Oreochromis niloticus: one gene and its partner. The protein of the gene in region 2 interacts with the protein of the main gene of each other region in a pairwise test. Links are inferred from orthologs where the notes say so. Each region holds a gene or a part of one and is shown on either strand. Other genes may lie near its edges.

What was found.
Region 1: the proteins of fsd2 (region 2) and fmr1 interact in binary tests that used the Homo sapiens proteins (3 or more experiments, as listed by UniProt). The link is inferred for Oreochromis niloticus from reciprocal best matches to the Homo sapiens genes FSD2 and FMR1.

The regions. Positions count from the first base shown.
Region 1 is NC_031966.2:33,307,447-33,315,283, reverse strand, and holds the start of fmr1 (fragile X messenger ribonucleoprotein 1), read left to right. Parts: upstream 1-4,833; 5' UTR 4,834-5,233; coding exon 5,234-5,284; intron 5,285-7,837. Other genes in the region: rab33a (ras-related protein Rab-33A), read left to right, coding at 1,071-1,138.
Region 2 is NC_031965.2:13,696,058-13,703,598, forward strand, and holds the start of fsd2 (fibronectin type III and SPRY domain-containing protein 2), read right to left. Parts: upstream 3,025-7,541; 5' UTR 2,718-3,024; intron 2,651-2,717; exon of another isoform or gene 2,625-2,650; 5' UTR 2,596-2,624; coding exon 2,413-2,595; intron 2,153-2,412; coding exon 2,057-2,152; intron 1,834-2,056; coding exon 1,600-1,833; intron 1,438-1,599; coding exon 1,415-1,437; intron 562-1,414; coding exon 440-561; intron 186-439; coding exon 21-185; intron 1-20. Other genes in the region: whamm (WASP homolog-associated protein with actin, membranes and microtubules), read left to right, coding at 3,332-3,907, 5,319-5,455, 5,516-5,528, 5,571-5,744.

The sequences.
Region 1 (7,837 bases), on a different chromosome or scaffold from region 2:
GCATTTAAGAGCGGCGTTCCCTCCAAGCTGACAGTCTGATGTCCTGATTAAATTATTCACAGGCTGAATCTGAACACTGTGCAAATCCAGAGGGCTTCTGCCTGAGGTGTGCCATGGTTTGGCGATCTTTCATACAGGTTTACGAACGGTGCAAAAGTCTTCAGCCACAAATAGTTATGAAATAGTCCTAGTCATTTCATAGCAATAAAATGGTATTTTTCCGCCACAAGGTGATTCTTAAAGTGCTATTTCGGCATGGTGTGCAGTCTGCCCTTAAAAAAATATGAGGCAAATGGACGAATGGAGGCAGGTCTTAAAAGCTCTACTGCAGATATCTGAAAGTCATTTCCTTAAGAAATAGGCAAAATCAACCAAAGACCCGACACAGGATTTTCAGTTGATCCACCGACTGTTTGCCAAAGCCTCATCAGAAATGGTTTCAGTGGAAAGGCAGATGTCAAGAAGCTTCCTAAAGAAAGGAAACAGGGACTAAAATGTGCCAAATTACACAAAAGCTGTGATAAAAATCAGTAGAGACAGGTCTTATTGACCGATGAATCCAAATGTAACATTTTTGGTGTAACTCATTGTCAGCAGGCACAGCGGAGGCCAGGAGAAATGGGCCCACTGTGCAATACCATCTGGAAAGCTCTGCTTGGCAATTTCATTTTTGAGCATGACAATGATCCAAAACACACTATCAATGCCATAAAATTAGAAATTAGAATTGATTAGAAAAACACACATTCGTGGATTGGCCTCCCAAGAGCCCAGACTTCAACCTTCCTGAAGCAGTGTGGGATCATCTTAGTTAATGTATTTCTGTGTATGTGTGCACCTTTCAAATTGCTACACCCATTTTCCATTTTCCTACCAAAATATAAAGAAATGAGGGCCGGCTCGAGACTTTTGCACAGTTCTAACAGCAGGATCGAACAGAACAGTGAATCAAATGACATTACTGTAAAATATCAGGAAGAGCTCTGTTCATTCTCCTTATATGGGCTAATCTGTGACTTCTTTTGTTTGTTTGTTTATTTGTTTTTAATCTCCATAAATGGCATCCACAGGTGCGCCTCAACCACAGCTGGGGAAACCACTACGTTCAGGACTGATGGAGCGGTATCCCAGGACATAAAATGTAAAAGGAATTGTTCATCCTTTAAATTTTAATACATTAACATCAACAGCTTTGTCCATCAGTGGGTTATTGTAAGAATGCTAATTTAGTCAGTGTCATACAAGTGGGATGACTGAACAAGACTAATGAGCAGAAAAACACTGTGGAAAAAAGAAAAATGTGTCTGCATTTCTGTTAGCAGATTTGAATAAAGCGGCAACTAACATGGTTTCAAATGAATAGAAAAGAAAATGAAGCTATAGTTCAGTTGTTTTCACTGTCATCAACCAAACATATATATCACTGTTTATGAAATTATTCAGCAGTTTATGTCATTTACTAGAAAATGTAACATCGCTTAACAAAAGTTCAGTTTTAACCATTTAAAACTGCAAAATGTGCATTTTTCCAGGTCGAAGAGTTGCAAATATATGCTTGCCTTCTCTTTTCTCTATATCTCCAGTGTGTTTTCTAATATATTTGTACTTTTTTGCAGTTGATTTGTGTCATTTTTAATAACCCATGTTTGCTCTTAAAGGGTTGCCTTGGCATTTTGATATTTAGTCTGGTATTATTGTTTATCTGCAAAACGTCTGTATGTGGAAAATAATAAATATCAAATACACTTTGAAGCATATATCATTCTAAGAACACACAAACGTCGATGAGCAACTTGAACAAGCCAAAATTAAACAAGTTAGACATCACAGTTCATTATTTGATTTACTGTTTTAAGTGAATTAGGTTCTTTTTTTCTTTTTTTTTTAGAAAACATGTTTTTGGTATCTTTAAATCCTTAAGCACGTGTATTAGCTTTAGCATTACAGTCAATGTTCAGATGAATGTGGTCTTTCTTCGCTTAAGAATTAAAGTAAAGTTAGCTGCAGTCCTACAGAGTATCAGGATATTGGTTTTATACATTACCTACTTGCAGTGCTAACACAACTTAGCCCGTGGTAGCTTAAATCAAAGCGCTAGTTTATTTGCTAGCTTATTTGCTAGCTAGCCAGCTCATTATTAGCTAAACTCTCACTAATTTAAAGAACATTTTAACGATTTTTACTCTGTTAAAAATGATAACACCACAATATTTAGGATGTCTCTGGTTTTATACAATAATACAAATTGTTATTTCGCTTTATTATCTAAAACAGTGTTTGTCTTTGGTACTATCTACAGCAGCAGTCCCCAACCTTTTTTTGGGCCGCGGACGGTTGTTTGACAATATTTTCACGGACCGGTCTTTAAGGTGTCACAGATAAATACAACAAAATAAAACCAGTGCCGGTACCAAAAAAAAAGAAGCTTTATTCATAACACACGCAACAAGACCCAGGGAAACTGAGTTAACGATAATAAACGATAAAAACCCTGAAAACCATACATTTCACACCCGAGCCTCAACTCTCGCGGCCGGGTAACAAACAACTCCGCTCCGTGGCCCGGGGGATGGGAACTGCTGATTTACAGCATCTTTGAGTGACACAGGCTCGAATCAGACCTGAGGACTCAAATCCATGTTTCTTCCATCTGTTCTTCTGTCATTCCACACAGTGTGGTGGCTGTAGCCTATCCCATTTGCAATAGGGCAAGAGGAGAGGTACACCCTGGACAGGGCTAATTCAATTTCTTTACACCCACTGGAGCTCAGTGTAAGTTAACAGAAGTCAGCGTTCCTTGTTTGATGACTCTTCAGACTGATGGACGTTGCTGACAGGGATTTGAACGCACTGCGCCCCATTTAATCAATACTATAAAGACTAAAACCCAGAATACTGAATCGCTCTTTTTGAAAAAGCCTGAAGAGTCGTGTTGGCTGATTTTATGGTATTGTAATTTTGTTAGATCCTGTAAATCTGTGGTGACTTTTGTTTTTGCCTGTCAGTTTACTCTGCTTTTGGACTGTGTGTGATTCTCCTCTTCTGTACATATGTTTCATATGTAACACTGTTATTGTTACAATCTCACAAAGAAACTTACGATAAAACTGCTGAAGAAGCATCGCTTGACTCTGAACCTTTTTCGTATCACTGCCCTTGAATTGGTTGCTTTAAAAACAGTGATCAGATATGCAAACACTCGCAGTCAGCTGCAACCTTAGGTGCATCAAGACCATGATGAAAAGGCAATAAGATAGAGTCAGTCTCTTATCAGTCTATTTTCAGTAATAATTTGATGAACTCTCAGCGAGTCCAGTCAGACCTTCATTTTTGAGACCTAAGTTCAAAAATTCATCTGCAAAAAGTGACGTAGTTGCTGCAAGACAGATATTTAAATGCAAAATGACAGGAGTGCTTGGCAGCCATGCTTTTGCACACAAATATAACCAGAATACAACCATGTTAGCTGAGCTGCATCACAGGCAGTTTACAGTCATCAGTCCAAACTGACTCCGACTGATTGCAAAGTGCTGCCAGTCTGTTTCCTTTGCAAGGAAGTTGTCGTCCTATTACTTTGTAGAGTTTAGCTTATGTGCCTGTGCCAACAGCATGGTGTGTTCAGTATTCAGTGTTTCCCTCGCACGCAGAACTCAGAATTTCCCGTCTGTTTATCCGTTCTCTTGCTCTTTGTCCTGTATCTTATTTCACCCTTCATGTATGACCCTGTTTCTGCCGCACTCTCATTCTATTTCTGTCTTAATCTCACTATAGATTATCCCTGTAAGTCACTCTATGGTCCTCTCATATGTCACTGTCAGCACTTCTTCATTTACCTGTCTGTAGTCTGTCTGCATCTTTCCCTTCTTTTTCTCTCCCTCTCTTAACATGTGGCCTGTTGCAGTTCCTTGTTTTTGCCTACAAAGTATAATTCTCAAGAAGGTCATATGTCCATAAATAGATGTAGCAGATGAGTGCTGCTGAGTGTTGAGAGAATGAGAGGTTTATAGAGGAAAAACATGAGGTTTTAACTGATCCTTAACACTGAATCTGCAGGCCTCTGTATTAAAATCTGTACATTTATCCATGCCATGCCTTGCTGTTAAATGTAACAAACGTCTTTAAGCATAAAAAGGCATGTGCCCTGACTTTAAAACATAGTTATTATAGTTATGTTTTCGGTTTCCAGGCAAAACTATTTTGGAGTGGATGACGTGGTTTGGCATGTCAGCTTTCAAGAGACAGTCCTCAGAAACAACAGGCAGTAATGAGTAAGTCTGAGTCTAAATATATATTGTATATTACATTAGATTAGATTCATTAGATATTAGTGGAACATTTAATGAGAACACCTTGGTTGCTGTCCTAGGTTCTGAAATCTCTCATTTTAATGTGTTATTATATTAGATAGATATATAGATACTTTATTGATCCCATGGGGGAAATTATTGTTACAACCTTGTGATAAAGAATAAAAATAGTACCGTGTACAATAAACATCAAATAAACAACACATGAGGAGCCAAAGTTCTTTGCAACAGATTTCAGTAGTTAGTTAAAGATAAGTATTGTGTTTGTGAATGCACATTGTAAAAACAAGTGAGGAAAAAGAGCAAGGTGGAATAGTTGAAATGTGGCTTGATAAATATGGAGAGGGATAAATTTGCTGTTTTCCCGGAGGGACTGGTTGGCCGTGCTGTTGGGAAAATATATTTTTTCATTTGTTCTTAGAGCTCAAATATGGTACACCACAGGATAAACACAGTGGTCATTTTTATTTTGATATATTTCCTGCTATATCAAATGGCATTCCTATTTATTACCCGTGGAGAGCAGCAACAGGCTCGGATGAGAGTAAGCAGCCTCAGTTTTCAGTAGAGGAAGAAAGCGGAGACGTCACATGGAGAGATACAACAGCAGTAGCTGCTACACCACTAATCACACAACATTAACATAACTAGCTACTAAAAGCTAACCTGGCTAGCTAATTGCTTCGTCTTCTTCATGAAGTCGGATTTGCAAATTTGCAAGAAACAAATTTCATAGACGGTGCAAAGCGGAAAACAATATTACGGTCACACACAGCTACTGTGGCCTCTTCTTGCATCCAGTAGGCAGGGTATTTAGGCTAGCTAGCGACTCTGCCTTGGCTAGCGTCAGGCTAGCCAGCTAGCTAGCTAGCTACTAACATCGCTATCGGTAGTTAGCTAGCTAGCGAGCTGTAGTAACTTACGTCATGGAGGAACTAGTCGTGGAAGTAAGAGGGACAAGTGGGGCTTTTTATAAGGTAAGTTGTTGACTTTTGTCGAGTTTTGTGACCACCGTTCACACACTATGTACCAAGTAAGCCTAACTAACATGAATTTGTGTCACGGGGCTAGCTTAGTGTTATATGTGGGCCTCGGTGCTTCTGCTCAACGTCTACCGGGACCTGAAACGTGTAAACAAAGCTAACGCTGCGGTGGGGCTCTAACATCAGCGGTAGTGGATAAATTGGTGAACTATTGGTGATCATGACGCTTAACCAGGGTAGCTGTTTAAGCGGTATCGGTAACGCTGATGTGACTGCTATACGATGGTACCCCTAAAGTGATGTGCAAGGATTGGTTGCAGACTCACAAACATCAGAATCAATCATGGGTTGGCTGTTTTTTGTTTTTTGCTTTGGTCAAAGTAAGTTAATTCAGAGTAGCACACAGGGGTGATGGTTTGGCTAACCTTTATTGTGCCCGTAGCTGCCAGGTGTTTTCTTGTTTTGTCAAGACTGCAGAGATTTTGGGGTCAGTCAACAAGTAGATCATAAATCCGATCCCGTGACCTGCGTGTATCACTGGGGTGGGGTGGGGGAGATAACATAAGCAGTACAATGGGATAACACGCTAATTAGCAATAATTACTTACATTTGAATATTGGTCAATTCAAGGACACAAGAATAAAATGACTTATGGTGAAGGATCTAAATAAAATGATACATTTATTATTTATTTATTGTACAGCTGTCAGGTTTGTTGTGGGATAAATATAGGATGACATGTATCGCAAGTAAAGTTCTGACAGATGTCTTTTTAAAACTAATAGTTTTGTTGTGGCCACATTAATGCGAGGTACATGAATGCTGTGAGTATGCTGTATAATCAGGGTAATTAGTAATTGAAATTAATCTTGATTCAGGCCACAGACCCTCATTAAGCTCAGCGGTTGCCATGTAAATCATAGACTTCTCATGCTGTGTTCAATACTTGTATACTTTCCCAAATCAAGAGGCTTTTCCTTTGAATGTAGGAAAGTTGAAGTTGGCACTGTCAGTTGTACTTTGGCTTTTAGCTAGGTGTGGCACGAGACAGAAACCATTCTTTTAATAGTTGTAATCATATTGTTAGCAAGTACAGAACCATATAAATGGGTGGGTGTGTCCGAATATTTGAATGGTGCTGTAGCTTGAATGATAAGTTTTACTGTCAAACAGCAATGAGAAAAGTTAGGCTAATTATTGTTAGATGGTAGTCTGGTTTGAAAAAATCCAGTCCCACCAGGTAACTCTTAAGAGTACTTTTATTAGCCATACATCTATCATAACCTACATGTATACCACTGTTATATTTAATGTATTTTACTATGTAGATCGATCTAATAAGATGACGTAGGTGTGACTCCTTACAAGTATAAGCAGATACACGACAAGAGGGCGACTTTGGCAGAGGTCTTTCTGTTCATCAGAAAATGCCCAGTGTATTCACAGAGGCTTATTCAGAGTGTTTAAAACTTAGGCAGTTTGTTTTTCTCTTGGCCCAGTATGATGTCACTGAGAGCAAATATCCCTAATATTGTCATCTTAGGTACACAGTTCTGACTGAAACCCCACCCACCTGCTGTTCACACCTTCTGTTTGCCAGGGGCTGGCTGGCAGACAGTTGGCCTAATATGAGTGGAGCTAAAACAGTTTTAAGATGAATTGAGCTGCACCAGCAAGAGATAAATGTGGATTATTTTCAATTGTGAATCATGCAAAGCTAGTGTAGTAGACTGTAGTCGAGTAAAAGGAATAGTGTAATAGGTCCACTTTAAAGGAGACTTATTTACAGAGCAGTTACCTTTGCTAGATGGCAGCATACCTCCAACACAGGGAGTTGGATCTTACTGCAGATCACTTGCATGATTTCAATGTTAATAAGCATTCAAATTTTGGTTAATGAATCAAGAGTTTTGAACGTAATCATTTTAGTTAGTTGTTGTGATGATGTTGATTGACTAAATGTGTAGTTGGCAAATAATTTTTTATAGTGTTTTTAATAATAGTTGAACTGGAAAATGACACCCTTGTCTCTGGCATTATAGCAGAATTTAAAATATGCTCTTGGCTGAAATGAACATATTAAAAATAATGAGTGCATTCATCTGCCAAGTGAGAATAATACTATAGAAATAATTGTAGAAAATGGTTCTGCCATAAATCACTTGAGTGAGAAACTTAATTTTGCTGTTTTTAAATTGCACCTTATGCAGTATAGAAGTCATTGCTCTTTTTTATTGTAATCTCAACAGCAGTACAACAATTGCAGTTTACTGCCAGTAGACTAAACTACATTATCTCCTAATGCACCCTCTGCCTTACCCTCATATTTTGTGTTTTGGTATTTTTCCGGTTTTAACAAGATTAATGTTCTTGCTAAAGTCTGAACTTGGTTCCTGAACTAGACAGTCAGTCAGTCACAATCCTAAACACGCTCACAGGTCAGTGAGGTCCTGTCAGAATTGGTTTATTTGTTTTTTTAACCTTGGGAGTTTTGAGAAGCTCTCTTTCTTGCTTCCTTCTTGCTTCATTTCATCCACCACTGACTG
Region 2 (7,541 bases):
GCAGCATCTCTGGTTTATACCCTGCGGTGTGAAGGCACTGTCTGCTGGTGTGTCCTCCAGCACCGGCCTGTAGTAAAGCTCGTAGTACTCCACCGTGTCATCAGAGAACAAGCTCCAGCACACACGCAGGGATGTCTGAGTGGCAGAGTTGGGCATCTGGGGATTGATTACTGGGGCAGATGGAGCTGGGGGTTGTTTGACAGAGATTCACTGTAAATTCAGCACAGTTATCAAGAAGTCTTTTTAGAGTACAAAAATCTAAATGTTAAGACAGCTCTGTTCTGGTTGAAGCTCAACACTGACACCTCTGTGTGCTTCCTATTATTAGGATTCTCATTTTCAGTGACGCAAGAGACGGCGTGTTCCTAGATTTGTATTTTTCAAGTGACAGAGGAGGTGGCGGAAAGTGAACCAGAGGAGGCGATTTGTAGATTCAGACCTGGAACGACGTTGATCGAGTCCATCATGGTTTTGACATCTGACAGGTCAGCGAGCGGTGTGTTGAATTCAAGACTTGTAGACAGCGTGAGGTCAACCTCATCTTTGGCAAACTCCTCGATTCTAGTGTGGTACAGAACAAAAAAAAAGCCCTGATTTTAAAAAGCGTGCAGTGCGTTATCAGGCTAATGATTACTTACAATGTTCAAAGTTTGACCATAAAATAAATACTTTACGTGCTTTTCATCAAGCATGCAAGCATGTTTTGTACAGTGGATGGAGTTTGGGTCTGTGGGTTGTGCCCATGAATGAACATGAATGATTGAAGTCTGAAGAAATAAGACATATTGTCAGTTTAACAGCATTTGTCGCAAGTCAGCCAACACAACCATATTGAGATGCCATCCCACAGCAGTGTGTGACCAAGCTGGTGACCAGCATGAGGAGGAGGTGCCAGGCTGTTGTGGCTGTGTGTGGATCTTCCACGTGCTACTCAGGGCCCTGTTTGTTAAATGAATAAATTGTTTCTTCAGACTTTAATCATCCAGTGCAATAAACTACACCAAACAAGAGTCAGTGGCAGAATAAGCTGACTGGTATTGGCAGAGGAAATTTGGCAAGTGTTTCAAAGGCGCAACCCACATACTCAACTCTGCTGCTCAGCCCACAAATGCATTTTCCCTAATAAATGTGGCTACATTTAAGGGGAAATAAACAGGCTTTCCGACGTATAAGATTTATTGGCAGGAAGCAACCTTACAAAAAAAAGAATTGTTGACCAAATACAAATTTCCTTACTTTTTGTGCTAAGTTTAGTAAGTGGATCTTCAGCTGGGATTTTAAAATATATAGAGTTAAATAAAATTAGTTTGAAACTAAAGGGAAGACAAATCGCACATGTTATTGATGCTCGGTCTCTTAATATCACACCTGCAGTGTCACACCGTGCAGACTCACTGTGCAGCCTCATGCTTACCTTTTAATTGTGGGCATAACTGTCTGTCAATAAAATCCAAAGAAATCACTTCAATAGCAAAATAAATGAATGAATAAATGCTAATCAATGCTTCATGTCCACAATTGCATTAGCTGGCCATGTTTTATTTATTTATTTATTTTTGGGGCCATCTGCAAATATGATCCAGTGGAATCATTTATCACCTTCAAGAAAAGCCTCTTGTCCTGGCTGCGGTAGACCTCCTGCGCTGTCTCGATGAGCTCCTTGGAGGCATCGAGTGCCCGACCGCAGGCCAGCAGCTGACCGTACAAGGCTTCCAGCTTACTCTTCTTCTCCTCCTCCAACCTTGCCGCGCTCTCATCCTGTCGCTGAGACAGCGTCTGCAGCACATCATTGTAGTGCTGTTCCAAGTGCTGCTCTTGACGGCCAAAATTCTCCTGTACGTGCAATAATATGACAGAGTTAGAGGGTAACACATTTGTTGTACAGGAAAGAACAAAGAAAAATGAAGAATTTGATGTAATAAAATTGGCTTGTGATGACTTTATTACTGTCTATGAGTAAAAAAAGAAAAAAAAGCATCTCTGCATATTCATATTATAATAAAACAGTAAAATTATGTCAAAACAAAGGAGATCAGACTGGACGTTTGAGTAGTACCTCCACTGTAAGGAAGATCTCTTCCAGATGACCAGCAAAGCTCTCCATCTCTGCAACCTTCTCTTGCAGCTGATCGCGAATCAAGATGATCTCCCCCTGAAAGCAGTCATAACACAAGCTTGAGCTCTTTCCGCATTTAATTCAAACCTGCAACACAGACTACGATGAGGGCTAACAGTTAAGAGTTTATGTTGCTGTTTACTATGAGTGTATCTTAATCAGATGTTCCCCTCACTCGGCTATTCATTTTACTCTTCTGTATTGTGCTACCATTCACACTGGCGTTCTCTCAGAGAAGTGATTAAATGCAGTGAGACGACTGTGGCTGAATAGAGGTAGTTAGTTAGTGTCCTCACCTCAGTTTCTCCCTCCTTAAAAGCATCCTCCTCACCATCACTTCCATCTTCTGCTCCAGTGGGAGATGGAGTTGAGCCTACATTGTAGGTCTCCATAGCAGTAGACTCTCTGCTTAACTCCTGGAGCTCGGCTTCCTCTGCAATCACACCCAGCCTGCCTCCTCTGATCTCATACAAGTCCATGATGACAAGGACTCAGGGGAGGACTGAGGCTTAAGTACCCGTTAATGTTCTGAAACTGCATCGGAGGAGAATTTAACAAAGCAGAACTGTTATAGTGAGCAAGCAGCTGATAACAAATTTACCTGGAAAATTAAGGGAGCTGTTTGGTTCTTAAACAACCTTTTCAGGCCAGCAGCAGTATCCGGCAGGACAGCAGTGACAGAAATAGATGGGACTGTGTTTGCTCACATTTCACAGGCATGCCAAACATCTACGCCGGAAGTTCGTTATTCATGAAATAGATTCATTAAACGTGATTGAAAGTCCGCAGAGGTCTGAGATTTGCTGACATTGTAAAGGAACAACAACTAAAAGTAAAATGCTTTAATTTTCAGGAGTTGGAAATCCCCGAACATGTGATTAAAAGGTCAAAGTTAAAGGCAGTACCAGAGACTTATGGTGCATTCAAGGTTCCTCGTAAACTTTAATTCAAGACGCATCAAACGCATTGGATTAGAAATTTCTGCATTGGGACCCGCCTGCTCTTAGTGACCCAGGCTGGGTTTTTCGTGGTTACCATTCTATGTCAAAACAGCGTATTCTTTAAAGGGTAGATATCTGTGTTAGTAAAACCGTTAGCTCATATTGACCGATAACTTCCGGGGCTGTTGAACGCAACTGACGTCAGACAAATGGCGGACGTTGTAAACAGAGCCAGCAGCTTCTCGGGGGCCAGAGTGAAACATCTCTTTTTAAGATGAACAGCATAGAGTGTGAGCGACTAGACAGTCTGGAGGGGTGGGTGGCCGTTAAAAGCAACATATTTGAGGAAGATGAGGCGTTTAAACTGGGCTTCATCGTACAGTGGAACGTCATCGAGTGCAAGTTCGCCGTCACCTGCCACAACCGGACGTTACAGCGGCAGAAGCGCAAATCCGAGCCTGCCGCCGACGACCCTCAGATGAGCTGGGCAGGACTCTTCTCCGTCAGCGATCTGAAGCACGTCCACCAGCAGTTCACCTGCGTGGCCGACGTCCTGGGAGGCTGCTTCCCGGATTTGACGGAGTTTGAAGAGGGTAACATTTGGGACTTGCTTTTCCTGAGTAGGAGATCAGGTCCAGACAATGACGACGAGAGGGACTATGACACCCCGTGTAGGAAACTCGAGAAGTATTTCAGCACCGCTATTGACCTCTGCGGACGGAAGATTGTTCTCGACACCTTGTTCGCACAGGATGACCGAGATGTTGAGGAGTACTTTGAGAATTTACAGGAGTTCAAAAAGAAGAGCTTGCAGGAGGAGATGTCAAGGGCCAAGGGTCACCTGAGACAGGTGAGGCGTAGAGGTGGGCGGATTGATCTAATATCGATACCAGCGCGATAGGCCTGAGACTTTTTCTGTTCCCTAAGTGCAGTATGTTGCCTACTGGATTGTGTTAAATAAATGTGTTTTAGAGGCAGGCACATTTACATTCCAGGTCTCCAGAAAATCAGTTTCCAAACACGTTGTGTTAACTAATTAATGTGGAAAGCAGAAATCACAGTGATTTAGTGGTCATTAAAATGTGTTCAGAATGTGTAAATTAATGATGAATCAATCAGTAATCATGGCACACTGCTCTCCCCTTTGTAATCTACATTTTATAGGGTAAAAGTATTGGCATTGGTATCGGCAACACTGGCCCTGTATCTGCTTGGTGCCCCACCTCTGATAGGAGAAGTCTTACAACACCTTAGATGCACTTAAAAACATGATTCCCTGAAGTATGAGAAAAGACTGCATGCTCTCTAATCCCAAGAAGTTTAAAGGTCTAGTCTGCCATATTAGCACCTCTCAGTTGTGGTGTGGGCCTAAATCAGGTCTACCATGACACAGCAAACCACAGCTGCTGTTCCAGCCAAGGCTCTAGATGTTGCAACAACACCAGCACTGGTCTTTGTTTGCTCTTGTTTGCTGCTTTAACCTGCAACCTGACCCTTTAGCTCTGTTTAGTTTGTTTCACATGCAAATGGAAGTAAAAGCAGTAAAATGACAGCCAATAGACCAATGAGGCATTTGAAGAGCAAAATACGTCAGCTGGACATTGAAGCAGAAATCTAGTTCCATTTGAGATCCACTGGAGATCGCTGGAATGCATGCCTCCAAGCTTATCATGTCCTTTTATCAAAATAATGTGGTCTGAGTTATGGTAGTTGAGTTTTTACATGCCCACACTGTACCTGTTTCCACAGGCATCATGATGTAGCTCGCTGAGCTGAAAATGTGCTTGTTGTGCTGGTTTGTTTCCTTACACAGATGTAAGGTTCTGATCAAGAATTGGTAACAGAAACAATGAGCAAGTGGACCTGTAAGAAAAACTGTTGATGGCACCGCTACAAGTAGATTAAATGTATCAGAATCTGTACTCAGTGTCGGTATTATGTCTACATAAACCACTGTTACGGATCTGCTGTATATGATACCTTTATGAAATCATATCCAGCTTTTGCTTATGCTGTCTCAGATGCAGGCTTGTGTTGCTGTGTTGATTGTTTTTGATATCTAAAGCAAACATGTTCCCTTTGTATGCTGGAAGATGTCAGGGCATAGATAACTCTTGATTTTCCAACTATTTACATATTTTGAATCCAAGCGATTTAACATTTTCTTAACCAAAAAGACGTCTCAGTTCCAAATATTTCATCACTATTTTCATCACTCTCACATAAAATGTTTTTTAAGACCTGAATTTGTTTGACTTCAGTGGTCAACATCGGAGAACCGGGTCCAAGAATCCCTGTGGTGTTCAACCACCAACCTCATCTTGAAGTGTCTTCACAAGTCTACCTTCAGCCCACCCAAGTTGTATTCTGAAAGGCCTAGTTATCGACTCTTATGTTAGCCGGCACGGATTGGATTGGTTCATTCTGAGTATGAAAAGTCATACAGAGCAAAACTAAGCTGTGGGCTCAGGGTAAACCCGGATCATGGTGTTTATGTTTTTTCATCTTCACAGCTGCTACAAAGTCACAGCGGTGCTGACAGGATGGTCGTGCTGCTCAGCATCTATGAGGAAGAAGACGAGGCCTACCAGGACCTGGCGACTGTCGCCACAACTTTCTTCCAGTACCTGCTGCAGCCTTTCAGGGACATGAGAGAGCTGGCCTGCCTTTACAAGATGGACATCCTTGTAAATACACACGTTGTTAGAATGTTGTACACGATAACATGCAGGGGATGCACTTAGTGTTGATATCAGAAAGTTAAGATTTTGATGAAAATGAAAAGGGAGGATTATGGTACATGTTTAATGTAAAGTGTTCTTTGACAGTGGAAAAAATGCTTTAAAGTGTTTTTTTACTATACTGTGCAAAAGTCTTGAGCCAACCCCTCATTTCTTTATATTTTGCTAGGAAAATGTGAAATAGGTGCAGTGATTTATCAAAACAGGCAGGTTAGCACTGTTGCCGCACAGCAAGAAGGTCCTGAGTTCAATTCCACCATCAGCCCGGGGTCTTTCTGTGTGGAGTTTACATGTTCTCCCCATGTTTGCGTGGGTTTCCTTGCGTGGGATAGGTTAATTGATTAATCTAAATTGCCCATAGGTGTGAATGCAGGAGTGAATGTGAGCGCGAATGGTTGTCTGTCTCTGTGTGTTAGAGTGGCGACCTGTCCACTGACACCTGTCCCGCCCTATGACAGCTGGGATAGGCTCCAGCACCCCCCCCGCATTTGTGATTTATCAAAACATATAAACATATCTAAAAATACAGTATGTGAGGCAAAATTGACTTTCAAGCTTGTTAGAATTGTACAAAGTTTAATCAACACAGCCTGAACACTCTCGTAGTTTTTTTAAGTAGCCTTCAGGAATAGTTCTCCAGGCTTCTTGAAGGACATTGAAAACTTTTCTTTGGATGTTGGCTGCCTTTTGTTCTGTTCTCTGTCAAGCTGATCCCGCACTGCTTCAGTAAAGTTCAGGTCCAGGCTCCGGGGAGGCCAGTCTGTGACTGATGGTGTTTTATTATGGTTCTCTATCCAGGTATACTTTTACTGCACTCGCAGTGTGTTTGGGATCATTGTTATGATGAAAAAGGAAGGCGTTGCCAACTAGGCGCTTTCTTGATAACATGGACCAAAATGTGATGGTACTTTTCTGTGTTCATAATTCCATTATTTTTAACACCACCCCTGAATGAAACGTAGCCCCGAACCATGACGGAGCCTCCACCGTGTTTTACAGATGACTGTAAACACTCACCGACAGTGATTTGAACCAAAAATGTCAAATTTGGGTTCATCACTCCATAAGATCTGTTGTCAGTGATTTGTCAGTCTAGTTCTTATGTAATTTGGCACACCTCAGCCTTTTCTTCTTGTTTCCCTTTCTTAAGAATTGCTTCTTTACTTCGTTGACCAGTAGATGGATCAACTAAAACATCACAAGGATCTCTCAGGTCCTGTGTCAGGACTTTCCTGGATGTATTCCTGTTTCTTAAAGACATGACTTCCACATGCTGTTTACCTGCTGTCGACAGATTTTAGACCTGCCACTTCTTTTGTCCTCCACTTACCCAGTCTTTTAAGGACACACTGTACATGATGCTGAGCTGCTGCTAAGTCTTCAGCTAATAGCACAATGAATAAAATGTTTTTTACTAAGTTGTCTCTTCTGTGTAAACACTGGTCCATGCTTCAGTAATTCATGTGTCATTGTTAGGTGTTCTCTAAGTCTGACTCCTTGGAAGCAAAATATAAATAAATGAGAGGTGGCTCTAGACTTTTGCACAGCACTGACCTATATGTCCTTTAGTGATCACATAAAGGTCTTTTTCACTCTTAACTGGTTCATTTGTTATTGCTGAGCCACACACAGCACTCATGAATAGACTGACCTGTTGCATCACTATGTCTAATGTGGTTCTCAAACTCTGTGATGTAGGTGAAAGAACATTATTTTTTTTAAGGGAATTTTTAGCCTTTATTT